3 linked regions of the Oryctolagus cuniculus genome follow. The protein of the gene in region 1 purifies or fractionates together with the protein of each later gene. This does not show direct contact. Links are inferred from orthologs where the notes say so. Each region holds a gene or a part of one and is shown in the gene's direction. Other genes may lie near its edges.

Region 1 (10,329 bases):
GCAGGGGGAACCGCCCTTCCGCGGAGGTGGAAGTGACGGTAGCCAACCGGGAAGAACCAGCAGCAAATCCGGGGAGGGCCGAGCAGACAAAAGAACAGCGCAGGGTCCTGTGTCGTTCCTCCACGAAGACGGGGAACGACAATATGTTTTTTTTTGATGTGTGTACTCTAATAGAGTACCAAAAAATGTAATGTATAGGGGTGAAATTGACATTTTGAGATTCAATGATTATTTACAGTCCTTGTCTCTATTGCTGAGGAACAGTGTTTTTTTCTTATTATTATTTGTTGAATTCTTTACTTAGTGTAGGGTTAATCTTATGAGTATAAAATAGACTGAGAGTAGATCATTATAAAAATTAAAGGAAGAAATGGGAAAGAAAAGAGGAGGGAGAGTAGAGTGGGAAATATTACTATGCTCCTAAATCTGTATATATGAAATACATATTTGTTCACCTTAGAAAAATTTTTTAAAAATTTAAAAACCTAAAATAGTGTCTACATACCACATTGAATCTGTTAAAAAATTAAAGATAAATTTTTTTTAAAAAAAGTTTGTTTTGAGGATTGAGATAATCACACATTTAAAGAAGAGTACCTAACACATAGTAAGTGCTCAATAAATAGCAATTAAGGATAAACAGAGCATAAAAAATTTATTGTTTTTCCATAATGAAGAAGTCATGATTCAGACTCAAAAATTTCAGACCAGGGAAGTGGCACGGCCCAGTTCTGTTTGGTAGCATAGCACCTCACATGTTGCTTAATAAGCACTGGCATCCCTGTAATTTCAGAACTGGAAGGAACTTAAGGGTCATCTATTCCAGGTTTCTCATTGTACAGATAAGGAAACTGAGGCTGGCAGGGGCTGAATGAGTTACTCCAAGGTTACAGTGTTTAGCACCCTTCCTGCTACACCCGGTGAAGCAGGAAGCAAAATACAGAAAGACATCCTGCCTGCAGCAAGAGAGAGATGCAGACAGTAAAACCTGACGGGGAGGTTCCAGAGGTAGAAATACTTCTATAGGCTGAGAACAGGGTGCTAGGGCCATGCCTGTGTAGCACCCTCTCAGAGGTCTACCAGGAGCTAAATGCTGGGAATTAGATCAGAACGGCCCTGGTTTCCCGAAGTAGCGACAGCTACAACGGGGAGAGCTTTGCTGCCCAGGAGACACTATCTTCTGCAGACATCAGTGGAGCCGAAAGAAGGGTGACGCACACAGAAGAAACGCACTGTTGTTAACTCTGCCTGTCCCGTCCCTAAGAGTAGGTCATAATGGCTAGCAAGTACCCTCCATCCAGCCAGCAAACAGGCATTTAAATGGCAACATGCTCCAAAACACAGCACACAGGAGGTACAATGGTAAAGCACATTCAGAGCAACAGATTTTGGTGGTGGCCGTGCCTTCACCTGTTTCTTTGACATGGCAGAAGCAATATCCAAGGGTTGGTTTGTTTTTCAACAGAAAATAATGAAATTTTTTTAAATGAGAATATTTTTTCACAATTTAACATTTCTTAATAACATATCTTATCAGTTTATCCTTACTTTTATATTAGGCCTGAGTTAGAATAAAACTGGGTTGGGGGTTGGGGGCTGATGTTGTGGTACAGCAAGCTAAGGTGCTGCCTGCAGCGCTGGCATCCCATATCAGTGCAGGTTCAAGACCCAGATGCTCCGCTTCCATAGCTCCCCGCTAATGTGCCTGGGAAAGCAGATCATGGCCCAAGCACTTGGGCGGCTGCCACTCAATGTGAGGCCCATGGAGACTCATAGAGTTCTTGGTTCCTGGCTTCAGCCTGGCCCAGCCCTAGCTGAAGTGGGCATTTGGGGAATGAACCAATGGGTCAAAGATCTCTTTCTTTCCCTCTTCAAATACATACATACATACATATATACATACTAAAAAAAGTTTAAAACCAGGAAATCACCAGCAGTTTTTTCCACAAGGTCTTTACAATTCTTGCTGATTTATTTTTCCAATAATTATTAGTGTGGTCTTTGTGACCCTAATCTGAGTGTATTTTGCATAAAAATATTTTTGACACAGTATTTCTTCTATCTCCTCTAACTGACAAATGAAATTTTGTTTTTCCTGCCTTGCCTGATTTCAGGCTTTGAAGAACAAATCAAAGCAGTTTTAAAAGCAATCTTTTTGGCAGAGGGTTAGGGAAAACAGTGGACTACATATTCACACAATAAATATAATGAGAGCTATACTTGGTAATAATGCACAATGACTATATGTGTGTGCACAGGAAAAGTTCTGGAAATTCACCCCAAGTGTTGAAACATTTTTTTACTGAGTTTTGGGGTTTCATGGAGCTTTTATTCTATTTATTTGTATTCTCTAATTTTCCTACAACAAATATGAATTTTGGCAAAAGGATAAAAGGTATTCTTTTCCTTTCTTTTTCATTAACATTTACTTAAATGCTAAAGACAATCAAATTTAGAATGGAGGAGAGAACGAGAGCAATGTTCAGAATAACGGCAAATTAGACTCTCCAGAATAAGCAGAATGTGGGGATGAGAGTTCATTTGATACTGGTGTGTGTGTAGGTGAACTCTTACTTTAGCTGCATAGTGAAAATACAAGCAGAAAAAAACAATTTGCAGTTGCCCTAAAAATGGAATTTCCCGGCCGGCGCCGCGGCTCACTAGGCTAATCCTCCGCCTAGCGGTGCCGGCACACCGGGTTCTAGTCCCGGTCGGGGCGCCGGATTCTGTCCCGGTTGCCCCTCTTCCAGGCCAGCTCTCTGCTGTGGCCAGGGAGTGCAGTGGAGGATGGCCCAGGTGCTTGGGCCCTGCACCCCATGGGAGACCAGGAGAAGTACCTGGCTCCTGCCTTCGGATCAGCGCGGTGCGCCGGCCGCGGCGGCCATTGGAGGGTGAACCAACCGCAAGGGAAGACCTTTCTCTCTGTCTCTCTCTCTCACTGTCCACTCTGCCTGTCAAAAAAAAAAAAAAAAAAAAAGGAATTTTCCCCCCCTTGTTTCTAGAGATCCTTCACTGAGGATTAAAGGTTTAGGCTTAAAGCAACCACACACCGCATAGGAAGGGCCGTACAAAGTCAACAGAACATCAGAGTTTCTTCCAAGTACTATTTTTTCTCCTCTTGGCTAAAGCTGAAGCCTCTTCTTCCCTAATTTGTTTATTCTCATTCCTTTAGCAAATACTCAGAACACATTTTTTCCTAGACTGATTAAATTATGGCAAAGAAAAAGGAGCCGGCCCAGATCTGGGAGCTAACAATCAACTTGGGTATACAAGGCAGTACTGCATAGGTGGGCCTAGGTTACAGAAAAGTGTCAATAGTTAAAGCAGGACTCACGCCGTGGGAACAAAGAGAGGCTCTGAAAAGCCGACAGTAACCAAAAGCATTTCAGGAGCACACAGGCGAAGGAGCTGTCCTCAGTCCCCAGGGGGAACGACAAGGAGCTTGGCAGGGAGGTGGCAGGTGGTGCTGGGACACTACACGGGGCGAAGCGCCCGGCCGAGGTAGGACCCGAAGCTGTAGGCAACCAGACACCGATCAGTGGACAGGAAACAATGGCTCTTACCTGTGCCGGGCATTATGTTCAGTTCCTCACAGGGGCTACTTCCTTCAGTGATGACAACTCCTTGAAGACAAAAAACAAAACGTGAGTGAGCTTAGCAAAGGGAGGAACAAGCATGGAAGAACGGAGGAAGAGAGACACATCGAGGGGGAAACTCAGCTCCCCTCACGGCCCTTAGGAAGGAAGAACGGGGGAGGGGGCAAGACCTGGGCACCTGGCCCCGGGTCCGAGGAAGCCCGCAGGCTCCAGGGGCTGTCTCGGAGAGGAAGCACTTTCGCTCCTTTGGGCGTCTGAGGTTCACAACAGCCATGGGAGACAGAAATACTGAGTGACGGAGATTCCTGGCGTTGGGTGTTTTTCTGTTAAACAGGGATCAGGGCCATCTGTTAAGAAAAGAGGGCAGAAGGCAGAAACGGGGTGGGTGGGGAGGAAGAGATGAGAATAGCATCAGCTGGATTACCCTAAGGCCGCCGGCCACCATCACCGGCCCATTGCAAGCACTTACGCGTATTATCTAGTCTAACTACCAATGACGTGCTATTAACTCCAATTATTAAAAAAAAAATAAAGGAAACTGAAACTCAAAAGGCTATTAAAAAAAAAGCCTTCACGGTTTTTCTGAAGTGGTGCAGACAACAAAGTCAAACAAATCCCAGCGGACGTTGCTAAGTGGCGCGAACATGACAAAGTCGTGACAGGACAGAGCCGCGCGGGAAGCCAAAGGCTGCGGGACTCCGCGCGGTCACGGGAGGCCCCGAAGACGAACCGGGCGCCGGAGTCCTCCGCCCGAGGCGGCGGCACGCGGCCGGCTGCGCTCGCTCGAGGCCGCAAAGGTCGGCGCCGCAGCTCGGGGCGTCAGGCGAGACAGGCCGAGGCCGGCGGCGCACAGCGGGCAGGGGCGTGCGGGGACGAAGCCGCCCTTCCGGCGGGCAGTCCAGCTCCCCGGCGCGTGCTCTCGTCCCCACCGGTCAGGAGAGGACAGGGCCCAGAGGTCGCCGCCCCGCGGGGTGTGGGGAGCGCGCCGGCGGGTACGCGCCGGGAGAACCGCCCCCGCCCGCCGCGCCTCTCCGCCCGGGCGGCCCGACTCCGCTTTCCTTCCGGGGAGATGGGCCCGTCTACTCAAAACTTCGGAGCGTCGGACCCACTTTTCCCTTCAAGGCTATAACAAGAACTGTGGCTGGGACGAGGCCCTACGGAAAACGACCGTTTTTATTTTCGTCCTATTCCCACACACACACACACACACATACATCCCAACCCCCTATGGCTTTCCGGAAACGATTGGCCTCACTCGCTCCTGTCTCCAAGTCTCCCCCTCCAACAGCGAGCCTATTGGTTTGGACCCCCGTCCTGGATTGGCTGAAGGCTTACGCCCCGGTCAGAGATTGGAGGAAGCTGACTTCTTACATAGTCCCCGAGCCCCATTGGCTGGTTTTCCTCGTTTCTGGGCGGGGTGGTTAGGAACGGTTTCCACCCCCTTGTTTACGGAGCGCGTAGTTGTAGCGCTCCCTGCGCGTAGGGGCTGTGTCTAAAGTTCTCTATTTAGCTCCTCAGACCAATTGGGTTCTTGCCTCGCCCTAGCCCTCGCCCTCGCTCTCGCCCGCTTGTCTGCGTGGTCCGGCCCACACCTTTATTAGCGGCGGCGTGAGCGGACACTCGTCGCGCTCCTCCGCCCACGCTCTCCAGGCTTATTCTCCCTCCCCCGAGGGTGCGCTTGGTACGGCCCGCGCCGCCTCTCTCCCTAGCTGGGGTGGCTGATCCCCCCCCCCCGCAGTCGGCGGCGCTTGGTGTCGCCCGGGAGAACCAGGTCATCGGTCGGTTCCCGTGAAAACAAAAACAATCGGCGGCGCCGCCGCGGGCAGCCGAACGCGGCGAGCGGCGGTCCGAGCGGGCGAGCGGGCGGCAGCGGCGGCGGCGACGCGCCTGGGGGACCCGGGGGCCATGGGGCAGGCGGGCGCGGGCTGCGCGGGGCTCCCCCGGCGCCGCGGCTAGCGCGCCCGCCGTCTCGGCCGCCTGCCTGGGGGACGAGGAGCGGGACGCGGCCTCGGCGGGGCCCGGGCCGGACGGCTGCGGACTGCCAGGCGCCGGCGAGCCGAGCGCCGCCGCCTCCGGCATGGATCAGTGCGTGACGGTGGAGCGCGAGCTGGAGAAGGTGCTGCACAAGTTCTCCGGCTACGGGCAGCTGTGCGAGCGCGGCCTGGAGGAGCTCATCGACTACACGGGTGGCCTCAAGCACGAGATCCTGCAGAGCCACGGTAGGGCGGCGCGGGTGGGCGCGCGGGGCAGGGCCCAGCCAGCCTCGCGGCGGAGCCCCTCACCCACCCTCAGGCTCAGGCCCGGCCCGGCTGCGGGGGGCGCAGGGATGCCCAGCACCGGGACTTTGCTGCTCTTGTTTCTCGGTTCACCTCGACTCTGCCGCGACCCCGGAATGAGAGCCGGGTCGGGCGGGCTGGAAGCGTGGGTGGGCGGCCTCCGCCGCACCTGCAAACTGCCGGGCTCCCCCGGCCCCCGGCCCCGGGGGGCTCACGTGGCCGCGCGGGCTGTCCCCGAGAGTCCGAGGGACTGGGGGGTCGGTATGGGAAGCCCCTTGGTCTACCGGACCCAGATCTTTGGCCGCGGCACTTTTCTTTCCTGGCCTTTTTTAGGGGGTGGGGGGTGGGAGCAGGGGAGTCGAGCGTTATTCTTGGCGGTGGGTTACTGGGACAGCCGCTCCGGCGACTTCCGACTCTGCCGCCCTCCGGTGCAGCCTCTCCCGAGGCCCAGGGAGCAGGCGCACGGTGGAGTGGGGAGCTGCCCGCGTTGCCGGCTCGGGTTTGTACAGTTCGGCTCCGTGCTGTGTCTAGATGATTGATTGCACTGTGACCCCAGGCCCCATGGGGACGCCTGGTTTGCCAGAGCTAACTTTTGGAAGCTGGTCTGGAAGGGGCTTGGGGTTTTGGTTTTACCAGGAGCGTTAACGGCCTGGTGTCCTTCGACGCGGAGAGTCGCAGGGCTGATTCTTGCTGATGGAGAAGGGAAGGGCTGGCTATTGAATGGGCTTGCTCGGGAGGCTGGGGAGCGGCCCTCTCCCCCGAGCAGGGCTGGGAGGGGGCAGAAAGGCAGGTATTTGTGGCAGGTGAGACCAGGGCGGTGAGGAAGCCCCGGCTTCCCTCCTCTGCGTTCTTCTACGCCTCCCTTTCCCAGGCTTGAGTTTCAGTGGAGGGAGAGTCCTCGGCTTCTCACTGTGGACACAGCAGTCATTTTTGAAGTCCAGGAAAGAAGCAGCCCTGCAACCGTAGTGATTAAAATATTAATATGGAAAAGACCGTAGCAAGAGTTCCAGTTCTGCTGTGGAAACCCAAGCAGGCCTTGGTGGCCGCCTTGGTGGTGATGGTCGAGTTGGCAGGAATGGGGAAGCCAGGCGGCGTGGCGTGGCAATCAGGGGGTCCCGAGTCTGCCCGCTGAAGTTGAAGGGCTTCACAAAGGCAAGTCAGAGGCTTGGGAGATGTGCAGGTCCAAGACTCTCCTGATGTCCCTAAGAGGAGGGAGGAAGGTGGCGGGGTCTGAGCCTCACCTTGGACTCTCCTTGGAGAGTGGAGGGTCAAGGCAGAGCGTGCGCGGGTTTGGGCACTGGGGGTCAGTGGGCCTCCGTGCGTGGAGTTTGGTAGAGCCGGGTCAGCGGAGGTTCAGTGGAGGAAGCATGTGTACACTGAAGTGTTCCTCTCTGCCAGGCTGGTGGGAGGCCCCTCCCAGAGGAAGTGTGGTTCTTGTTACGGGCTGAAAGGGAGGAACCAGCGGAGGAAGAGAATGAATGAAGCGCCTGGACTCAGAGGTGCCGGTGGGAGATGAAGTGTTAGACCGGAAATGATGGGAGACGAAGACCCTGGGTTCCGGGAAGAGGGAGCTGTTAGTGGAAGCAGAAGTGACTGTGAACTTGGTTTTAGGTGATCTCGGGTCAGTCCCAGGTGGATAAAGTGATAATGAAGAATTCGCTTTAGACAGCTTTGCTTGCTCCTGGGGACCTGAGAGTTGGTGGGGTGTGGGGTGTGAGCTGCTTGCATGCCATGCTGTTGAGTTCTGTTTCTTTCCATGGTCAGCCGTTTTTTTTTTTTTTTTTTTTAACCCTCTTGTCTTCCAAATTGCCTGTCTTGTGTTGGTATCTCTGATTTCCTTTAATTCTGTAAGAATAGGTTTGATTAAAGGTCATTCTAAAATGTTAAAACAAATGCCTCAGATACTAGGTCTGGTTTCTAAAATAAAATCTAACTTTTGGTGTTCTTTTGTGAGATGACAGCATGCTTTGGTATCTGGGTTATGGTATTTTTCAAAGCAGATCGTTTCTGAATTAAAGTTCTCTGCAGGCAAGGGTGGTGGCTACCACCTTCAGCCTTATATGTACCCTCCTCAGAGGTGTCTGTGCTGAAGACCGATTTTGGAATTCCATGTTCAAGTTTAAAAGGACAGTTGCAGGGTGTCCGAACGTCTCTGTCTGGGCAGGTGGTCTGGTGGGCTCCTCTGACCTGAGGAAGGGTCCCTGGTTGGGACCCTCCTTGCAGGAATTGTGTGATGTAAATCAAGCAGAACCCTGGGGGTTTTGCAGATCCCAGATCCCCCAGGATCCTCTCTAGGACCTCATCCTGCTGAGGGGCTGTGGGTTTCAGAAAGATCCTTCAGTGGGGGCGAGGGGATCGCTTCGGTTTCTGAGAGAATGAATTGTGTATTCTTCTATTTAGATGTTTGCCCCTCTAAAGTTGTGAGCGCTGTGATAAGCATGTTAGGATAGTTTGGAGGGAGGATGGGAGCATTATCTTCCACTCTTATTCCCTGTAGAAAACACGGGCCAGTGGGGTCCAACTGGCCTGGAGACAGTCCTGCAGTGAACCCCGACACTTCTCAGTCGCTCTAAGTCATCTCTCTGTAGCCTGGAATCCTTTCATGTAAAATTTCTCCAAATCCTTTAGGGGAATGAGGATGTAGGGTGGTTACCTAACACCTGGTGGGGTGGTTTGTGCTCCATGGGGTAAAGGCCTGCGGCAGAGGAGTAATACTGGAGTATTATGGCTCTGAGAGGGAAGGGCAGGCTTTGGGGAGGGAGTGTTGCTTTCCAGGGTATTTGCAGTAGGGCTAACAGAAGTCTGAGAAGCAGGAAAAGGCAGTAAAGCGATACAGAGCTCCAGAGAAGAGTCAAGAGGAGCCCTGCTGGGGCCTGATCACTCCTCTTCCTGGAACCCCCGCCAGGGCCTTCTCTTGCCTTGTGGCTGCCTTAGGAGGATGGACTGATCCAGAGCCTGGCCCGTAGTAGCAGGGATGGAGAACTGTTCATGGCATGCAGAGGGTTTGCTGAGATATTGCTGTGGGACGGCAGTGTGGTATACCCTGTAAAAACATTTTTACACTTATTTGTTTGAAAGGCTTACATACACAGAGATTCATCTTCCACCCACTGATTCATTCCCCAGAATTGCCTACAGTAGCCAGGGCAGAATCAGGCTGATGCCAGAAGCTCAAAATTCAGGGACCCAAGTACTTGAGCCATCACCTGTAGCCTCCCAGGGTGTGACTTGCAGGAAGCTGCAGCTGGACTCAGAACTGGGACCAGCACCCAGCACTCCGATATGGGATGTGGGCATCCCAGACAGTGTCTCAGCACTGCACCAAATCCCATCCCCAGTGTGCCATTTTAAAACCTGACTTGCATTCTGGAATTGTATTGAGCTTTGAGTCTTAATTGTTTTTATTGAACTTTGGGTTCTTTTAATGTCTCCAGCTCTGAGGGGAGAGAATACTTTTGTCATTTAGTTGTACCAGTCTTCCAAGAAGCAGAGTTTCCTTTTGAGCATGAAGTCTGGTTTAATTTAAGATTCAATAGGGTTGAGACTGGGTGTGATGGTTGCTAGTGTGCCCCTGATTTAATTTGGATAGTGCACTGGTGCTTCTCAAGCGCCACTCACACATGTACATGGATTAATGGTTTTGTTTTAGTAGACTTATTCTCTCTCTGGGAAGGACCTTTGTGGAGTTATAAATTTGGTTTGCTTAGTTACAGTAAACTAGTAATAACCTCATAGCTAAATAACTATTGAGATGATAGTTCGTTACCAGATTTGATCATCGTTCACAGCAGTGATATGGGAACCTCACTTTGTGTGGTGACGGTTTGGTGATCTGACTTATTTGTATGTTTTTCAGCATTTTCTTTCTATTGAGAAAATGTTTGTTTTTTGGTTCCAACTAGGGGTTCTGGCAGGGGTAACAAATGCATTGTATATTATGTGTTGCTGAATTGATACTTGGTAAAAGGTTAGGCTGAAACAATTTAATAATGGTTTCAGAACATGCTTTAAAGTATGCTTTGGAAGATACAGAGAAAGATTTGCAAGATCATTTTAGACATTAAAGGTAGTTCCAAAGAAGTTTCTGAAAGTGACTTTCAAGGAATTTCCTAAGTTTAAAATGTATCTATTTTGAGTGAATGGCTCATTCAGAAGATGAAGTTCATTAGTGAAGTCTCCCTCCCACTCTTGTTCCTGGACCATCTCATTGCCCATCTCCCAAAGATGCCAAAGATTTCAACAGTTTGCACCCACACAGACGCACAAAGTATAAAGTACTGTTTGAAGACAAGTTTTACCATTAATTCTCATAGTACAGCTCATTAAGGGCAGAAGTCCTACATGGGGAGCAAGTGCACAGTGACTCCTTTTGTTGATTTAACAATTGACACTCTTATTTATGACATCAGCTTCTTCCTGGTCTTACATGTGGGTGCAGGGGCCCAAGGGCTTGGGCC
Region 2 (10,229 bases), on another chromosome or scaffold:
TAAGGAGCTTCCTCCTTCGTATTTTTTTTCAAGCAGCTGCATAGTATTTCACTGTATAGATGTGCAATAATTTAATTAACCAACCCTCTTTTAAAAGATTTATTTATTTATTTATTTTTAAAGAGTTAGAGAGACAGAGATCTTTCACATGCTGGTTCACTCCCCACAAGGCCACAATGACCAGGACTGATCCAGGCTGAAGCCGGAGCCAGGATCTTCATCAGGGTCTCCCACATGGATGGCAGTGGCCTAAACACTTGAACCATCTCCCACTGCTTTTCCCAGGCCCTGAGCAGGGAGCTGGTTCAGAAGTGGAGCAGCCCGGACACAAACTGGCACCCATATAGGATGCTGTTGTCTCAGGGAGCAGCGTTATGTGCTATGCCAGAACACATCCCCACCAGCCTCCTAATTTGGACCATTTAGTTTATTTTCAATCTGTGCTATCACAAAACAATACTAGAAAAAATACCTTTACATAAGATATTTTGTAAGAAATGGAATTGCCGAGTCAAGGATTATGTGTCTTTGTAATTTTACTACTTACTGTTTTTATAGATTGTACCACTTTATGCTACCAGCAGTGATTACTCAAGTAATTGGGAGAGCTGGATTGAGTTCTTGGGGATTTCTATCTTGATATCTTGATATCGCTCTCCCTCACTCCTTCCCATCCCTAAAAAAGCAAAAACCTTTGTCCTGAGAATGCCATTGTCTTCAGTTAATACAAAGATGCAAAGACTGGTTTGCAACATGTAGTAATATATCAATCCATTGTTCTCTAGGAATTTATGCTAATAAGGTAAGAATCTGTCCTGAGATGCAACTTCACGTATGTTCAGTGAAACACTGTTTATAATAACAGTAAGACATCAAAAACTACCTAAAATATCCAATATGGGTTTGCATGATTAAACTGTGAAATACTCTATACTGATTAAAAATAAGAAATTAGGGGCTGGCATTGTGATGAAACAGGTAAAGCCGCCACCACCAGCAACTCTGGCAGCCACTTCATTTCCCTTTTTGGCTCCCTGCTAGCTTCTGGCTCCTGGCTTCAGCCTGGTCCAGTGCCAGCTCTTGTAGCCATCTGAGAAGTGAACCAGCAGAAGGAAGATATCTCTCTCTCTTTCTCTCCCTCTCTCTCTTTCTGTCTTGCCCCCTCCATAACTTTTTGAAATAATAAGAAATTAAAAGTTAGAAAACATGGAAATTGAGAGATTTCTAACTTTTTTTGTTTTAAGGAACATTTCTCATGCATAGTATATAAAATGTATAGGAGATTGTTAACTAAAAAATAGATTAACTAAAAAAATGGCTGTTTTGTTATTCAGAAGCCTGGATGCTCATCTCCCCACTTAAGTGATGGGGATTTGGACTCTAGAAATAGAGTAAGCATTTGCGCAAAAGTTGTTGTCTGGCTAAATAATGAGTTGGCGAGACCTGTTTGACAGTGCTTTTTCTGGACTAGCAACTGGTTTCCTCTGCAAACCCAGCAGAGAGCCCACCTTTTGGTTTTGTTTTTCTCTTTTAAACAATGAGCACAAAACACCTTCCTTGTCTTGGCTTAATTGACCTTTCATTAATTCATGGGGTGAAGTGGAGCATAAAATGAATGAATAAGAATTGTGGCTTTGCAGTAACTGTTAGCTTCTGCCACTTTGAAGATCTTTAGTAGAAAACAGAGTAGATGAAAAATAAATTTTTTTTCTTCTCCCTTTACATTTCTACTCTGGGAAATGATAATTTTAAAAATGATAAAAGAGAAGAAATATAGGAACCAAAATACTGTTAACTTCTCCATTATGGAGTGTTGTGTTGCCCAACATGACGTTACTGAGATGTCCCAAGTGTGCTGAGGTAGACTAGGCTCTGACTCAGTTCCTCTTGCAGTTAGTTTTAGGGTTCTCCTTGACTGTCTCATCAGTACTAAGATGTAAGAATAACTGTGCCAACCATGAGCACATAAAATGCAGGCTTCATAGAGGCCTTGGATGCTGTGCTACTGTGTATTTAGTGTATTTAACAACCACAAAGAGCTAGTGCCAAGGATAGCTTCTTCTCTTTTCTTCAGAGGCATAGGAGGTAGCAATTCTAGAACTGGGATGAAGTGTGATGTGGCAGCTATTTGTAGGACTAAAATCAGTGTCTACCCCACTTTTTAGGATTGAGTAATAGAAGCAAAAGGTAACTCATAATTCTACACTGGAGTAAATGTAGCTTTCTACTTTTAAGTAAATATAGGTTTGGGGCTGGTGCTGTGGCGCAACGAGTTAATGCCCAGGCCCAAAGTGCTGGCATCCCATATGGGCACCGGTTCGAGACCCGGCTGCTCCACTACCAGTCCAGCTCTCTGCTATGGCCTGGGAAAGCAGAAGATGGCCTAAGTCTTTGAGCCTCTGCACCCACATGGGAGACCTGGAAGAGGCTTCTGGCTCCTGGCTTCAGATCGGCGCAGCTCCAGCCGTTGCAGCCAGTTGAGGAGTGACCCAGCAGATGGAAGACCTACCTACCCCCACCTCCTCTCTCTGACTCTCTGCTTGTCCTCTCTCTGTGTAACTCTGACTTTCAAATAAATAAATAAATCTTTAAAAAAAAAAGTAAATATAGTTTTATTGAAGTTAATCGTTATTCTTCCTAATGTATTGTTGTATTCTTTTCCTACAGGGGCCAGATCATCAAACAATTTTATTTAATCATGGTGCAGTTCAGAATATTGCTCACCTACTAACCTCACTATCCTACAAGGTGAGATGTTAAAAATATGGCCAAATAATTCTTTGTTTTCTAAAAAGAGGCCCATATATATGAGTTTTTATCACTTCTTTACTAGAGCTTATGACCAAGAGTAGTAGTTTATCAGTAAAACGTTATGGGACATTATTTTACCAATAGAATGCTCTTTTAGGAAATAAATTGCTCTTGCATGTCCATTTTTTAGCATATGGTTGTGTATGAATTGCTTTTGATTTTAGCTATTTTACAGTGTTTCTGATTAGATAGCAGTGCTGCAGCTACATTTGAAATAATACCTTTAAGTGTGTAGATGCAATGACCTGCTGTATCAGGAAAAACATATTTTTGGATTTCATATTTAAAATCTTTATCTAGCCACAGTGACTCAAACCCACAGATTATACCCACATACACATCAATATTTAAAATGTTTTTTTATTTTTATTTATTTATTTATTTTTTGACAGGCAGAGTGGACAGTGAGAGAGAGAGAGAGAGACAGGCAGAAAGGTCTTCCTTTACCATTGGTTCACCCTCCAATGGCCGCTGCGGCTGGCGTGCTGCTGCCGGCACACCGTGCTGATCCGAAGCCGGGAGCCAGATGCCTCTCCTGGTCTCCCATGCGGGTGCAGGGCCCAAGCACTTGGGCCATCCTCCACTGCACTCCCAGGCCACAGCAGAGAGCTGGCCTGGAAGAGGGGCAACCGGGACAGAATCTGGCGCCCCAACCAGGACTAGAACCCGGTGTGCCGGTGCCGCAAGGTGGAGGATTAGCCTATTGAGCTGCGGCACCAGCCTTAAAATGTTTTTAAAATGTGTTCTTATATTTTTATTTGAAAAGTCAAAGAATTTTCAGACTTTATAAAAAGTAAACATAATGTTATCAGTCATTGAGTTAAAATTTTAAGCATTCATTGTTGTCTAGTTAGAATGTTGTAGCAAATATTGGAACATTGTCTTTATTATATCACATTAGATTTGGGTATGGCAGAAGTTACCTGTAGATCAGGGAAGCAGTCATTTTTATTTTCTGTGTATTTGCACTGATGATCCTCAACTATTGTTCTTTTTATGCTTAACTTTATTTCAAATAGAACCTGCTCATATGTATGTTTTCCCTGTCTTAGACATCCAGAATTTAGTCTTGGTAATAGGTTCATAAGGATAGGAATGGGTGGAGCCAGCTTGAAACTATCCAGAGGCAGGGAAAGAAAATTACTGAGAGCTGCTGCTTCTCTCTGCTACACAGAGGATAAAACCAGTTAGCCCTTGCACATCAAAAAGCAGTCGTGTGGTCGGCTATTTATTGTCCCTTTACTTGTCCATACTCCAGCTTCCTTAATTCTCCCTGCTCTCCTTCCATCCCCCCCCCCCCCCCCCCCCCCGCGCTTTAGACTTCCTTATCTACTCTAATAACTTGAAACTTACAAGTTGTAGAAGGGACAGTGTCTGGTAACGCTGCTCTTCGGCTAGGATTGTTCCACCGCTATGGTGTCATTAACATGCTCTCATTTCTGCCTGTGGTCTGTGCCAGTCCTGCAGAGCATTCCCCAGGAGAGGGAGTGTGCTGCTTCACTCCCCTGCTGCTTGTCTGGGGAGTGCCTGCCAGCCCCAGGTTCTACATGAGAACAGTGCCTGTAGACTCTGGCTTTGGAAGTGAGGATGAGATCATGTGGTAAAAAATGAATGGAAAGAATAAAAAATAAGAGTTCTCATAGGAGCCCCTGCAAACAATAAAATGTGTTTATGTGATCAGGAAACAAGGCCCTTGATAGTATTCCAAACCAGTAACCTAGTTTTAAGAAAGGGTAACATAATTGCTAGGTGTTCTATTGGTAAATTAATTTAGTCCTTTTCAAACTTTTGTTGTAACATTGTTTCCTCTGCCTTGTTTTTTTTTGTCCCCATCTCCATCTCATATACCTGCTCTAGTTTTGCCTTCCCTTCAGTCTTGTAATTAGGAAGGAAGCAATGTCCCACTTGAAAGGCTCTTGGTAATTTTTTGAAGTTCCCTTTGTCTTACAACGCTGTATTTTGTACAGTGTTCTTACAGGTTTGATTAGGGACTTATCTAGTTCAGTTTTAATTGCTGCTGCTTCCTCATTATTGTTCTATTACTTCAAAATTGATTTTAATTTTTCTATAATTAATTCTGACTTTCACAGTACTCTTCAAATCATGCAAATATTATTGCCATTCCTTTGAGGCTTCCTTTTAGTATTTTAAGCAGATTTAAATAGTTATTTTTTCAGGAGAAGAGTTTAGATTCTGAGCCATTAAAATAAATGCACTATTTGTTCTTTGATTTTTACAGGTTCGAATGCAAGCACTGAAATGCTTCTCCGTTTTAGCTTTTGAAAACCCCCAGGTATCGATGACCCTGGTGAATGGTAGGCTGAAACTTTCAGTACATCTATAAAATTTAATTTATGAACTTTATGAATTTAAATAAGTTTCTTAATCCTTTTGTTTGTTTGCTTCTAGTTTTGGTTGATGGAGAATTATTGCCACAGATTTTTGTGAAGATGTTACAGAGGGATAAGCCTATTGAGATGCAGCTCACATCGGCAAAATGGTAAAAGTCAAGACAATGTGGGAGAAAAGTGCTTTATCCATCTCTTAGAGTATTTTTGGACAGTTTCAGTCCCTCTTGCTTTGGGATTTTGAAAATTGAAAGTCATGCCACATTTTGCTAAATGAAAGTCATTTTTAAAATTTTATTTGAAAGGCAGAGAAACAGAGATAGGCAGAGAGATCTTCTGTCCACTGGTTCACTCCCCAGGACTGAGCCAGGTGGAGGAAGCCAGGGGCCTGGAACTCAGTCCACATCTCTAGTGTGAGGAGAGGAAGCCAAGTATTTGGGCCATCACCTGCTGCCTTCCAGGGAGTGCAGTAGCAGGAATCAAGCAGAGCCAGGACTAGAGAACCCAGGCACTCAAATACTGGGATGCAGGTATCTCAAGTGGCGTCTTAACCACTGTGCCAAATGCCACTTTAGAGGTCAGTTTTTAACATTCAGTTTATTACTCATAGTATGCAGGACAGGAACTCTCATATATATCGAAGACCCATCTACAGAAAATTACTTTAATGTCCTTCCCTGTCTTTGTATTTCAGTTGAGATGATACAAAATTGAAATAGATACAATTAATGCACATTATCCTAGTATCAAACCACAAAAATGAAAATATAGACAAATGTAGAGAGAATTAATTAAAGATGATAACCAGGGAGTGATTTTTTTAAAAATTAATTAATTTATTTGAAAGGCAGAGGCAGAGAGAGAGATAAAGAGAGGTCTTCTATCCCCTGCTTTATTCCCCAAATGGCTGCAATGGCCAGAGCTGCACCGATCTGGAGCCAGGAGCTTCTTCCGGGTCTCCCATGTGGGTGCAGGGGCCCAAGCACTTGGGCCATCTTCTTCTGCTTTCCCAGGCCATAGCAGAGAGCTGGATTAGAAGTGGAGCAGCCAGGACTCTAACCGGCACCCATATGGGATTCTGGCACTGCAGGCAGTAGCTTTACCTGATATGCCACAGCGTTGGCCCCAATGGGACATGGGGGATGATTTCTGAGAAGGAGACTTTTTTTATCTCTTAAAAGAACAGCAAACAGAATCTTAGATATGTGATATTTTGTATGATAATAGTGTAAAATTAGCATAATTCCTATCTCATGTAAGCATCCAGTGTGTGTTCATTCTGCAATTACCAATAGAGGTAATTACGGGTATGTTGAGCATATGTATGGTTCTATGCTAAGTGAAGCTGTGGCTCTTTAATAGAGAATTAGGATTTTCAGTGAATTACTCATGAAAAGTAACAGCTACAAAGATTTCAACCTTCTACAAAATAAGTATAAAAGAATTTTCCTGATTTGTGTATAGTTTTCTCTAAAAGCCAAACATAGAATGTTTTACTTTTTGCCCTGGGACTGCCTTCTACTGGTTTATTTCCCAAATACCCATAATGCCCAAGGCAGGGCCTAAAGCCAGGAGCCAGAGAAGTCAATCCAGGTCTTCCATGTGGGTGTCAGGAACCCAGTTATTTGAGCCATGATCACTGCCTCTCAGGGTCTGCATTAGTAGAAAACTGACGTCATGAGTCAGAGACTGGCATCAAACTTAGGCACTTATGAGTATCTTAACCAATAGGCTAAATACCCATTCCAGAATAATTAGTTTTTGATGAATAGTTGTGTTACAAGTTAAGTGGGTCTTTTGTGCTACTTCTACTGTATTGGAGTTAGACTATCTCAACTTCATTTATAAACTGAGATGTTTTGTTAACTTTTTAATATTTCCTCCTCTTTTATTATAGAAAATTTAAAACAAAATAACAGAGAAAAACATAACTCACATGTACTTAGCACAGTTTCAAAATGTCTGCACTTATTAGGCCGTCTATTTTTAAAACAATTTGGTAGGTTTTTTTGTTTGTTTTTAGTATCTGGCTTACTATCTATATGTGTGTGGTTTTGCTTCAGTTATTAAATTGAACCTCAGGTAAAGGAAGGTCAAAATGTCTCTCAAGATACATGGTAGTAGGGACCAACATTGTGACACAGTGGGTGACGCTGCTGCATACGACACCAGCAAACCATGTGAGTGCCAGTCTGTCCAGCTGCTCCGTTTCTGATCCAGCTCCCTGATAATGGCCTGGGAAAAGCAGCAGAGGATGGAACTGTTTTGGCCCCTGCTACCCAAGTGGGAGACCTGAAAGAAGCTCCTGGCTTCAGCCTGGTCTAGTGCTGGCCATAGGGACCATCTTGGGAGTGTACCAGCAGATCAAGATTCTCTCTCCCTCTCTCTCTGTAACTGACTTTCAAATTAATAAATAAATCTTTTTTAAAAAATGATAGTACTTGTTTTTTTGTGTTTTATTTTTCATAAAATCTCAAAGGCAAATAATTTTTCTTTTTAAAACTTTAAAGCCAAAGGTAAAACTTACTTTTTGCCATCTTATTCCAGTTTAACTTACATGTGTAGAGCAGGAGCAATTCGGACAGATGACAGCTGTATTGTGTTAAAGGTAAGCTAATGAAGTCTCCCTGGAAACATGGGAATTACAGTTCTATAAGTATTGAGTATGTATAATAGCATTCTCACTTTTTATGTATTTATCATTATAGATGTGTACATGGCATAAAATGTGCTTGCTTTACAGTTTTTAAAAGTTAATTTTCGATGTGTTTTTCAATAGTAAAGCAAAATGATTTGTTTCTTATCACAACTTTTTCATTTTATGATAATTAGAAAACGGAAATCTGAAAGTATATGAAATTCAAGTGAAGTAGAAAATATATTATAATCTATAATTTTCATTATGTTTGAAGTGCAGTTTTGTAGGCACTTTACTAGCTCTACATATGAAGACTATGTCACTCTCAGAGCCAGTGGTGAGACTTAATAGATAGACTTGAAAACTATTATTATTATTATTGTGGTATGTCAGATGCTGTCTAAACTGAGAAAACCTGGAGAAGAGACCAGTCGTAAACGTCCTGAGACCAGGATTCTGGTTTTAGCACTGCCACCACTGACCTGCTTGATGCCCAATTCTTTTGGTGGCTCCAGATTCTTCATTATGAAAATGTGGGCAGTAATTCCTGCTCAGCTATCCCCTAGGGTTATAATAAGGATAACTATAAATTAAATAATTTACATTAAGATGTCTCATAGCTATAAAGAACAAAACAAGTATAAATGCATTGATCTTGTGTCATTTTATGAATGTGAGTTAAGGTAAAAGATAAGAGAGCCTTGAGAAGATCACTTCAGTCTCTGATAGAGTCAGTTCATTTAATGAGATTTAAGGAATTCCCTAAATAAGCAGCTCTGCATTGAGTGTTAACGTCTTTCATACAAGTGAGCCTGGCTTATTTACTTCTTTAGCCCTCCTTTCTTCCTCGTTGGTAAAATGGGTTGGTAGTATCTTCTTTATGATGTACTTGAGGGCAGTACATTCAGTAAAACATGAATTTATGGTGTTGATAATTATTAGTAACTAGGAATGTTAGGACCAAGAGAGTAGGACCTCCCCCTTCAAAGCTAAGATTGAGTTGTAAAACCTGAACTAGCCTAATAGGAAATCAATAGTGAGAAATAAAGTTTAAATTTTGTGGTAGAGATTATGGTGGTAGTTGAGGAAAGCTTCCTGTTGTAAAATTTTAATATCTACTTCCACATTATTCCTTAAAGCCTTAAAAATAGTAAATACATGAGATGTTGTTATTCAGAAACTAATATAGATAAATTACCAGGACTAGTGCCAAGATGTTTGAAGGACCTCAGGAGAGAAATTGGATTATTGGATACCGTAATCACTCCAGCAAGTTCTTTGAAAAACCTAGCAGCTGTGATCAATGCATGTCACTCACATTTTAGAATAACATGTGGAATATGAGAAATGGTAAAAGTACTGAATTGTTAAAGCTGTGTTTTGTTTTTGCAACTATAGATACTAATTCTCAAACTAAAAAAGTCATCCCAACCATATTACTCACTAAGGAAAAGATTCCATACTTTTTGGGCAAAATCATTCCTGGTTCAATTGCTGGATCTCTTTTAGGTAAATAAACACAAAGATGGGGCAGAACCATCAGATATGATCTGTTAGGGATTCTTAAATGTCTTTTAAAAGGTTGTTCGATAAGGTGCAATCTGAACTGATCACAAAAGCCTAACTAAGAGATTCTGTTCATATAGTTGAATGTATGAGTCGTTTAGAGTGCTAGCACAGATGATTAATCTGTACTGAATTTTGTTTTTGCTTTTTGAAAAATCTTTTATTATTGAGAATCAATAGAAGAAATACAAACATGACTCCCAGTGAAAGCCATTGAGTTGATTCAGTCTTAATATACTCTTCAAGATTCTACCTTTACCAGAAAGCAAATAACTGATCTCACTGCCTTTCAGACATTGCCTTGTTTGGTTCGAATGTGCAGTAAGGAGAGATTGCTAGAGGAGAGAGTTGAAGGAGCTGAAACACTCGCCTATCTGATTGAGCCAGATGTTGAGCTGCAGAGAATCGCTAGCATAACTGACCACCTCATTGCCATGCTTGCTGATTATTTCAAGTATCCCAGCTCAGTGAGTGCCATCACTGATATTAAAAGGGTATGTTTGCTTTTCCTTTTCAGTAGTTCAAGAGGATTTTTAATAAGTTTTTCTTACTGCTCACAACTTTGAACCAATTGATCATTACAGCTCAAAAACATTTTAAATAGAGGAGTCATTTATCTTTGGTTACATGGATTACATTGCTTTGTGAGTTTTTTAATTCAAATATGTTTAATATATTTATAGTTGGGAATTTTTTTACTAAGCAGATAAGCAGGAAAGAAGAAAATAGTAAACTTAACTCCCAGCTTAAACCCTCCAAATAGCACAGTCTTTAAGCTGGGTATTGAAATTATATCAACATCATCTAATCCTATTCAAGGTCACAGAATCATTTTTCTGTTGATGTATTCTCATGCTTTATGTTAA
Region 3 (10,229 bases), on another chromosome or scaffold:
GAACTCCTAGACTGTGTCTGTGCTGAAAGGCTGGAGGGAACACCCGGATGCTTCTGGTTCTGAACAGTCTCTCTTGAAGCTTGAAACAGTACAGAGTTAAATGGAATAGCATCGCATTCAAAAATCATGTTCACTGTCATGGACTAGGCCATGGAAATAGCAGAAGACTTGGCGACTGTCAGTCTGACACGGTCTTGCCAAGGTGTGCTTTGAACATTGTGAATTTAAAATTCGAGTATACTATTCTGTGTCTTTTTTGGGAGGAGCTGGTGATTGGGAGACAAGGATCACTCTGACAGCACACTTCTTCCTGGAGCCATCATCGCTCCTGTTACAGAGCCTGGACCCCGGGTCTGTCCACACAGGTGGAAGAGGGGACAGTCCCCTGCAGGGCCCGGGGTCTCCAGCTGGACCTGGGCTGGTCGCTGCTCTGGGGCCGCATTCCCTTAATGCTCTGGAAATGGCCGCTCCCTAAGCGTCATGGCAGAGGAGACATTTCTTCTTAGTCTTAGAGCTTGGGACCCCGCAAGCCCATTCTTCACAGAATTGATGGTCACCGTGACCTTGTGAGAGGTCTTTCTAAAATATCGCTCTTTCTTAAATTAATTTGAAGTAAGAAGAAAATCTGAGATTTTGACTCCTTTTTCCCTGGTTTCCACTTCTGGTGAACCACTGCCTCCCGATGTTTCTGCATGGCCCTGGGTAGTGAACGTGTTTGCAGATATTGGCTATCTGGGTTGCTGTTGTTGGATCTCCAGTTGTTCTAACTACACTTTGTAGGTGTGTGTAAATCTGTGTTTTGGCCTCATTGGTGGTTTTTTAAAAAATACACGTATTCTCCAAGATATGAGTTGTGTCTAAATCGTATTGAAGAGTTAATCTCCTAAGAAAGGCTCACTCTGCATTGATTATTATTGTCCTTGTAGGCGTTGTTCTAGAAGATTCTTTGAGTTCACCTATCTCATTTAACTATTGTGTTCTGAAATGCCTAGAGTTACTCTGCTATTTCGAGTTGATTATTTACAAGATGCCAGCATATTACTAAGATAGTCATCCAATAAAGGTGAAACAAATTATAGAAAGATTGAATAGTAAGATGGGAAATAAATAGGCAGGGACCTTGAGATCACAGAAGGGTCTTTAGAGCACCTGTTTCTCTGGTAATATGGTAGTTAGAATTATTGTTACTCTCTGTTTTGAAAATACCACATGATGAACAAAATGATTTCTTCCCACTTTGTATTTGAGGTTCTTGAAGTCTTAACCATTTCAAGAAAGTGCATTGGTTTTGTCACACCAAATTAGTCTGTGTCCATATAGATCATAGAATGAAGTGTGTATTCTGTTGACTAAAAGACGTGTGTTTCTTCTTTTATGTTAAGAATGGTTTCGTCCTATCTAGTCCACCATGGGTACTGTGCCACAGCAGAGGCCTTTGCCAGATCTACAGACCAGACTGTTCTAGAAGAATTAGCTTCCATTAAGAACAGACAAAGTAAGGACCCTGGTGCATGGCTAACAATTGTTTGCAGATTATAGGTTTTCTTTAATTTTTAGAAGTTTTATTTTTTTAAATTTGGAAATGTTCAGATGTATTGATTTCAGAGAATGCCTCTACAATTTACTTTCATTGACATTTTAAAAGATTGTTTTTTAAATTCACGTAGGACTAAGTTATAAATGTGGAGAGAAATTTTGGAGAAATGTCATTATAGTATTTTTCTTAAAGGCTTAAGCTATCAGAAAATCAACACTTAATAAAAAGGGTTTGGGTGAAGAGTAAAGTCATCCTGGTTGAAGAATGCAGATAATGTGTGAAAGAGATTAGATATCTTCAGATTTAAATTACTGATCACAGAGTATTTATTGTAGGTTCTAGTGCTGGCCTTTGTAGCCAAAGCTGGAAGGCCTGTTGTAGCAAGGGCGAGTCTGCGTGATGCCTGGCCCAGAGTGACTCATCCTGAATCCGTGCTGTGAGCCCATGAGGGTGGGTGTCACTTGACAGAGGTGTAGGGGTGGGTGAAATCATGATGGCTGGAAGACAGCTTGTTACTGGGTCAGATTGCTCTAATAGCATTGATCACATCGTTTTGTAGCTAATTGCGTACTTGTCTTTCTCACTACCTTAACGTGCTCTGTGGAACAGAGGTGGTCACTTACTCATTTGTAGCCTCACCATCTAATTTAACAAACATCTGACACACAGTGAGTGCTCCAGGGGTGTCAAGTTGAGATCTTCCTAGAAGAATTAGAAATGTACTGGATTTATTGTTTGAAACCTTAGTGTTGCTTATTAGCTGTGTTTCCTGTGTTATTTGTATGTTTGTGATTTAAAAAAAAAATGGTTTGTGGTACTTGTTAGAATTTTTTAAATACACCTGAAATTTTTCCAGATTTCCTAATGAAATCTATGATTTTAGAAAAAGAAATAGAAATTAAATCCAGTAATTTATGTTGAAGTTTTTTTACTGACTCATATTTTCTGAGGATCTACTAAGTTTGTTTCTACTTTTATGAAAGTTAATTTTTTGCTTTTTCTGAATAGGAATTCAGAAATTGGTGTTAGCAGGAAGAATGGGAGAAGCCATTGAAACGACACAACAGTTGTACCCAAGTTTACTTGAAAGAAATCCTAATCTCCTTTTCACATTAAAGTGAGTTCAATAAAATATTTATTGTATGTGTGTCTTATTACATAGATGTTATAATTAAAGTCACTTTGATGGCTTCATAGCTTATAATTCTACCTTGGTTCAGATATTTACAGAGTTGTGACGTAGCGCATGTGACTGTCAGGTTGTAACAGAAGGGGAAGTGGTAAGAACAGTAAGCAGAAGGCATCCTGTGCTGGGTGTGACCTGGAACTGTACCCCAGAGCAGAACTCCCCATCCCCCTCTCCTCAGCCCTTGACAAGCACATTCCACTTTGTGTCTCTAAATTGGACAATTCTAGGTGGCTCATGTGAGTAGAATCATACCTTGTGTGTCATTTTGTGTGCTTGTTCACTTAGGGTAGTGTCCTCAACACATCCATGGTGTGGATGTGTCAGAATTTCCTTCTGTTTAAAAAGGCTTGATGGCCGGCGCTGCGGCTCACTAGGCTAATCCTCCGCCTTGCGGCGCCGGCATCCCGGGTTCTAGTCCCGGTCGGGGTGCCGGATTCTGTCCCGATTGCCCCTCTTCCAGGCCAGCTCTCTGCTGTGGCCAGGGAGTGCAGTGGAGGATGGCCCAAGTGCTTGGGCCCTGCACCCCATGGGAGACCAGGAGAAGCACCTGGCTCCTGGCTTTGGATCAGCGCGGTGCGCCGGCCGTGGCGGCCATGGGAGGGTGAACCAATGGCAAAAGGAAGACCTTTCTCTCTGTCTCTCTCTCTCACTGTCCACTCTGCCTGCCAAAAAAAAAAAAAAAAAAAAAAAAAAAGGCTGGGTAACAGTCCGCTGTACGTATATGCTGGGTTTGGTTCGGTCTTCGTCCTTTGACGGATGACAACTTGTATCCCTTCTGCCTTCTGCCTCTTGGCTCTCGTGACTGTTCTGCTGTGAGCGTGCTGGGTGCAACGCCCGTGGCAGCCCTGCTTTCAGTTCCGGTGTGTGCTCGGAAGAGGCGGCGCTGGGGCTCCTGGTGACGTTCTCACTGTGAGGAGCTGCCCCAGTGTTTTCCTCAGCGCTGCAGCGGTTTAGCTTCCGCCCGCCACGCGCCGGAGCTCCAGTTTCTCCATATCCTCGCCAACGCTTGGCTGCGTTTTTGTGGGTTTTTTGGTAATAGTCAACCCATTGTGGCATTTTTTTATTGATTGACTGAATCTTTGTTTTTAATCATGTTAATTGAGCTTCAAATTTCAACTCAGAAATTCTTGTAATTCATAACAGAACTGTCTGGTTTAAATGAGTACGTTTACATGAGTTCAGTCATTTTGGTTGAGATTGGGAATGGGAATGGGGTGAGGAAGAGTGAGAAGGCGGTGCTGTGTGGATGTAGTGTGCAGGAAATCGTCCTCTTAGGCATTGGTTGATTTGCTAACACCCGCCCCTCCCCTCACACACTTTTTTTTTAAATTTGAGAGGTTGAGAGGCAGAGAGCAGACGAGCTCCCTATCTGCTGGTTTATTCCCCAAATGCTTGCGCTGGCCCCAGGTGGGAGCCAGGAACACAACTCGGGTCTCCCACATGGGTGGCAGGGACCCAGCTGCTCCTCATCACAGCTGCCTGCCTCCCCGGAAGCTGTTTTGGGAACTGGGGCTGGAACTCAGACCGCGGCGCTCTGTTGGGGGGTACCGGGATCTTCACCGCTAGACTAGCTGTCTGCTCCACAGATAATGTTGTGTTTGTCACTTTTAGGCAAGAAATGGATCTGTTTTAATTTTATTATAGATATGGGTAGATTTTAACTTTCTTGAAAGGTTTTTATTAAAACTTCATTAAAGGAGATGATATTACTCTCTCTTGCATTATGTTCAGGCATTTTTTCTGGAAAATTTTAAACAGTCTAATATGAGTTTTAACTTGTTATCTAATGACCAAACTTATTGACAGTACAGATGTTTTCAGTACTTTGAGAAATCTGTTGTTAATGAATAAACTAAAGGCCATTGGAAGATTATGTCTGAGTGAGTTTCTTTCTCTTTCAGAGTGCGTCAGTTTATAGAAATGGTGAATGGCACGGATAGTGAAGTACGGTGTTTGGGAGGCCGAAGTCCAAAATCTCAAGACAGTTACCCTGTCAGTCCTCGACCCTTTAGTAGTCCAAGTGTGAGCCCCAACCACGGAATGAATATCCACAGTTTAGCATCAGGCAAAGGAAGTACTGCACATTTTTCTGGTGAGATTGAATCTTACAATGTTCCCTTTAAATTTTTACCTTTTATTATTTTGAACCAACGTTGTGTTTTTTTCTGACATTTTTTGTGTAGCTGTTTTGCATTTGTGTGTGCTTGATCTCAAGAAGTTGTAGGTGAAGACCTGAAGGTTCAGACTCATGTGTTCCCAGTACCAGGAATTCACTTAAGAGACAGCTCTTTCTGAGAATAGCTTATTAGCAGATCTTCATAACGAGGGCGACGCTCCGAGTGAGTTGTCCCTACACGGAATCCTGCGTGCTGCGTCATGCGAAGGCAGTCTTGGGTTTTATGAACGTTCACACGTGCAGGTGACCCGCCTGTGATTCGGGTCATTCCCTGCCACTGAACCAGAGCCGGCTGGCAGCTTCTCAGCCTCTCCGGGCTCTCCCCACCCAGACTGTTGCGGGTCTGCCCCGCGCCCTGTCCATTATCTCCTGGTTTCTTTCACTCCATCAGTCTTGCTTTTTGTGGCTTTCGATGTCCTCTTAATTAAAACGTTCTCGTTCCGTGGCTTCCGTGAGACCCCTTGTGCAGGTTTATTCTGATCCTTCTCAGTTTCCTTTCTCCTCGCGTGGCTGTTCCATTCTGGGTTTGCTCTGTACTGTTCATTTGCTGAAGCAAGTCAGACTTTTTTCTCCCAGTCGGTAGGGTACACACACCAGCAGCCTGCATGCTGAGGGTGATTCCCGTGCCTGTGTGCTTAGCTGCACCCATCTGGAATAGCTAGCGTGCGCTCACTTCAGGCTGGGGGGAATTCCGAGCCCCCGTGTGTTCCTATGTAAAATGAGCATGGTGGCGACAAGTCACATGTCACAGACCTGCCGTCAAGACGGAGGGTAGATGCAGCGGTGGCCCCTAAGACCGTGACGGAGCTGAGACGGTGCCATGAAGTGTTTGTGCTGCACCTTTGCCGCGCTCAGACACACACACGCCTAACTTTGTGTTACACTTGCTACAGGGTTCAGGATGATAACGTTTCCATGTTTGCTCAGAACGTATCCCTGTCATTAAGAGACACAGGACTGCTGCCCTCAGAGGGCCACTGTGAAGATTAAATGCGATCCATAATTAAGTCTTCAATAAATGTTAGAGGAGGTAATAATTACAGTTCACAATTCAGTGCTCTAGTGTCTTCTCGAAGACGTAATCTGTTTGCTATTTGAGTTGTCTAGTGCCTCTGACATTTTGAAAGTCTGAAATGAAAAACCAGAATATGAGGAAATTATCTAGTCTTTTTTTCTATGTAATATTTTTCTCATTTTTTCAGGTTTTGAAAGTTGTAGTAATGGTGTCCTATCAAATAAAGCACATCAGTCGTATTGCCACAGTAAACACCAGTCATCCAGTTTGAATGTCCCGGAACTGAACAGTATAAATATGTCAAGGTCACAACAACTTAATAACTTCACCAGGTACGTGACTTCCCCTGCTCTTGCATCCTAGCTTTGGTGTCGTCATTGTTCATAATTCAGAATGGATCTCAATCCTGTGATCTAGACTTGGGGTCTGGGAGTTCCCAAGCTCCTAGAGAACATGAAGGGCAGGGACTCCGTTCCCCAGAGCGGTCAGTCTTCCAGGTGCTCCTCCTCCTTCCTCTGCCGCCCTCTTAAGCTGTAAGGACAAATCAAGGGCTCTCTGCCTCGTCTTCCCGCCAACCGCAGATCTGTATAGGTGGTCGCCAGTGCCGTTTGTTGTTTTCAAGTTCAGCGTGCTGATTCACACCTATTTAACCTCTAGTGTTAACGGTTTTTTGATGTATAGAATGCGCTGAATTCAGAATCACTTCACGGAGAACCCTTTCAGAAAGCGTGTCATTCCGTAGCTTGCGTGATGGCACGTGACTGGGCTGTCGAGCAGCCTTTAGCATGAGGAGAGTGAGGACCTGCTGCCTGCCAGGAGCTTGGAGAGCAGATCCGTCTCAGTGTGCTCTGGGCCCTGACAGACTCGGGCTTAGGACTCATGAAGCCTGGAAGTCCGTGACGTGTCGTCATTTAAATTGAACCCTCCTGTGCAAGAGAAGGTCTCCATTCGGCTGGCGCAGTCAGCCAGCCTCTGAGTCAGTTTGACCCTGTAAGATGAACCAGTGGTCACACAGCATTCTCGGGGAGTGTTTCAGTGTGCCGTTTTCTCACTGAAGTATAAATAACCTAACTTTTAGTGTGGAATTGTTTTTAAGATTTCTTTATTTATTTGAAATACAGAGTTGCAGAGAGAAAAGGAGTAAAAGAGAAAGAGATCTTCCACCTGCTGTTTCACACCTGAAATGGTGGCAACTGCCAAGGCTAGGCCAGGTCGAAGCCAGGAGCCTGGAACTCATCTGGGTCTCCCATGTGGCTGGCAGGGTCCCAAACACGTGGGCCATCTTCTGCTGCCGTCCCAGGTGCATTAGCAGAGAGCTGGATCGGAAGAGCAGCAGCCGGGACTTGCGCGGCATATGGCATGCTGTGCCCCAGCCCTGACCCCTCAGTGTGGAATTTTAGTGGAAGGATGATTCTACAGAAAGGAGTCTGTGCAAAAACAATCCAGATTTGAAAATTTAGAGACTATTCAAGATTTCTGGGTTATCAATCACACATGACAAAAATTTACAAAAGGAATGGGTTCCACTGGAGTGCCACAGGAGGAGCCTGGGACAGCGTGAAAAGAGACTCATTTTTACTGGGGAGGTCAGTGTTACCTTTCACAGTAGAGCTGACATTGGGAAATGTGACATTAAAATCTGTAGTAAAAAACTAGGAGTGTGAACATTAGAAGTTAGTCTCTGTACTTTATAGTTGGCACTTTACCATTGATAGTGGATTCTACCCTTGTTTGATGTGAGGAATGCCCTCAATTTGTGAATTCTCTCTTGCTGCTATGGCAGAAAGTTGCTCCATAAATCTGTGATTACCAGGCCTAACAGGAGTTGATGACATAGCAGCCTCCCTGTGCCAGGACAGAAGGGGAAGGAGTCAGCTTTGGAACTGGGAAATGGTGACAGTTGTTTCGTAGCTGGTAGTGGCTTTCATTGCCGTGTCGTGTATTGTGAAGCAGGCGAAGGTGGGATTAACTGCTGAAACCATTTTACAGATGTGGAGCTGAATACCAGAAAACAAATGGCATTTTTTAAAGTTGAGTCATTAGTAGGTCATTGAGTTGCAGAGCTGGGATTTCTTCCCAGGATTTCTGACTTGCAAACCTGTGCATTTTCCCTTGTACTTCCACCATCTGAAATGCTCTTCTCACCTCCATCGTCACCTCTGTTTAAACTGCAAAACTCCAGTTCAGGTGTCACCTCTTCCAGAACATTCTCCTCGACTTTACACCCTCCAAACGTGGTATCACTCCTTGCGATTGACTCTGAACGCAGTCCTGATCAGATTATGCTGCGATAAAATGTGGCTTTCTGTAGCTGTTTGTGCCAGAGGGCAGGGGGTTTCACAAATTCCTCACCTGACCTAGAGCTCTGAGATGTGTGTTGAATGAGTGAATATCTCACAAATATAAAACAGAATTGTCCGATAAAAAGGGTTGGGAGCTTACTACCTTATTAAAACCACTGAAAGCCATGATGATAAGGATTTATCATTAAATTAAGCATTCTTTTTAAAGTTTTTCTTATGAATTGTCAACGTTTGTCGAGATATTTAATGAGCTCTTCTGACTAGGTCTGGTGTGGAGCACCAGGGCCCTCGCCGCCTCCTGCCCAGATCTCTACATCTGTTTATCTTAAAGATTTTACCAACAGGAGCACATGCATGCACGCAGCCCATATGCACACCCTTATCCCAAGATGTCAACTAGTGGTTATATCTGTATCACTTTTTTAAAAAACAAATTTATATTCTTTGTAACAAGAAAGCTTGTTTTATTTAAACAATTCTGAAATTTTCATAATTGTTTACGTCTGGGTTGTGTGCTCATTGCCTAGTTCATTGGAGGAAATGAGAAAGATTAGGTGTTTATTGTTCCTTAAAAGAGTGTGTGGATGGTTTGGAAGGACTCACATGGAAAAGAGGTCCAGACAGAGCAGGTGGCAGACTGATCCTCCTCCTCAGTGCGCAGTGAGTGAAGAGTGGAGGTGACGCGAGGCGACCCGCGCTGAGCATCACCTCCAGGGCCCTATGAGGGGCAGGTGTTGCGTGCTGAGGTGGGGGAGAGGCTGAGGCCGCGGCAGTGCTGAAGCGTGTGTACTGGGAGAGAAGGTATGCTTGGAAGTAGTGAGCACAAGTGCCAGCGTGGGAAGACTTTAAGAAAAAAAAAGGTCCAGACACAGGTTGAAATGAAGGCAGGGAGGAGGTGAGGTGGGCTTCAGGAGTGAGATCTGTTTGTGTTTAGGAGTGAGATTTGACACTTAGGTGTTGGGGGAGGGCGAGGCTGGCCCAACAGGCTCTGGGGCGGCAGTCCTGATAGTTAGCAGGGATAGGCCTGTTGTGCCAGAGTGTTCCCTCTCCTGTTGGTGTCAAGTCAAAAACCACCACACAGTTAGCGCGTGTCTTCCTCCTTAGCTCCAGGAGGTGCAGGCTTGGTAAGCGTCGGCTGTGGATCTGGCTTTGAGTACACTTGAGATGTAACTACATACCTTTTTTGCAGATTGCTATTGCCTTGTGAAGTTAGTTTATACGTAGGTTAAGTAGTTGAGAAGTAATTTGTCTTACACCAAGCTGCAAGTATGATCTTTCTAAAACTAGGTTTGTTTTTTCATTTTCAGTAATGATGTAGACATGGAAACAGATCACTACTCCAATGGAGTTGGAGAGACTTCATCCAATGGTTTCCTAAATGGTAGCTCTAAACATGACCACGAAATGGAAGATTGTGACACCGAAATGGGTCTGCAGTGATATTTCTTACATTTTTAATAAAAATGATGGCTACAAGGTTATGTTTTTACTTGTACTGATGAGCATAAACCAAATTTAGTGATGTGTGTGCAGTAGTGTTGACAGTAATACATATTACTGGAACTCTCTCAGCTAGAGAGAGTAGTTATTTTTGAATTTCTTCTGAAGTCAAGTGCCAGTTTTCTTTGTTGAATTGGCTGTTCAGGCTTAATTTTAGGGTTATGCTTAATGAAGCTGTACTAATCACTGTTGAGCCTTAAGGGTTTTAAGGTCAGAGATAAATTTGTTACACTTACTTCAATATAGTCAGTAAGGCCAAGTGGGTCAAATGATTTTGCAAATTCAAAATTACTAAACTTTTTGTTAAATTCTAGTTAAATTGTTAAACAGTTCCTAACTCGTTCACTGCAAACATGAGTGACTGCCCAGTACTGTGTGTGGTATATTAGGTGCTGACGTATGACCTCCCCCAGCAGAGAAAAAATACACAGGACTCAGAGATAGACTAGCATGCAAACTTGTATTTTGTAGACAAATTATGTAGTAAACTGCGCCTTAAAGTCTTTCAG

The links. Proteins that work in one complex are often made in the same cells at the same time.
Region 2: the proteins of RMND5A (region 1) and ARMC8 purify together in Homo sapiens (affinity purification with mass spectrometry; 5 studies listed by BioGRID and IntAct, counting the BioPlex papers as one, with this or other methods). This does not show direct contact. The link is inferred for Oryctolagus cuniculus from reciprocal best matches to the Homo sapiens genes RMND5A and ARMC8.
Region 3: the proteins of RMND5A (region 1) and RANBP9 purify together in Homo sapiens (affinity purification with mass spectrometry; 9 studies listed by BioGRID and IntAct, counting the BioPlex papers as one, with this or other methods). This does not show direct contact. The link is inferred for Oryctolagus cuniculus from reciprocal best matches to the Homo sapiens genes RMND5A and RANBP9.

Annotation. Positions count from the first base shown.
Region 1 is NC_091433.1:116,045,776-116,056,104, reverse strand, and holds the start of RMND5A (E3 ubiquitin-protein transferase RMND5A), read left to right. Parts: upstream 1-5,058; 5' UTR 5,059-5,673; coding exon 5,674-5,815; intron 5,816-10,329.
Region 2 is NC_091435.1:143,473,250-143,483,478, reverse strand, and holds part of ARMC8 (armadillo repeat-containing protein 8), read left to right. Parts: intron 1-2,667; coding exon 2,668-2,748; intron 2,749-5,050; coding exon 5,051-5,126; intron 5,127-5,220; coding exon 5,221-5,311; intron 5,312-7,706; coding exon 7,707-7,767; intron 7,768-9,656; coding exon 9,657-9,857; intron 9,858-10,229. UniProt on the Homo sapiens protein: Component of the CTLH E3 ubiquitin-protein ligase complex that selectively accepts ubiquitin from UBE2H and mediates ubiquitination and subsequent proteasomal degradation of the transcription factor HBP1.
Region 3 is NC_091436.1:156,998,638-157,008,866, forward strand, and holds part of RANBP9 (ran-binding protein 9), read left to right. Parts: intron 1-1,382; coding exon 1,383-1,495; intron 1,496-2,545; coding exon 2,546-2,654; intron 2,655-4,627; coding exon 4,628-4,818; intron 4,819-6,104; coding exon 6,105-6,249; intron 6,250-9,527; coding exon 9,528-9,649; intron 9,650-10,229. UniProt on the Homo sapiens protein: May act as scaffolding protein, and as adapter protein to couple membrane receptors to intracellular signaling pathways. Acts as a mediator of cell spreading and actin cytoskeleton rearrangement.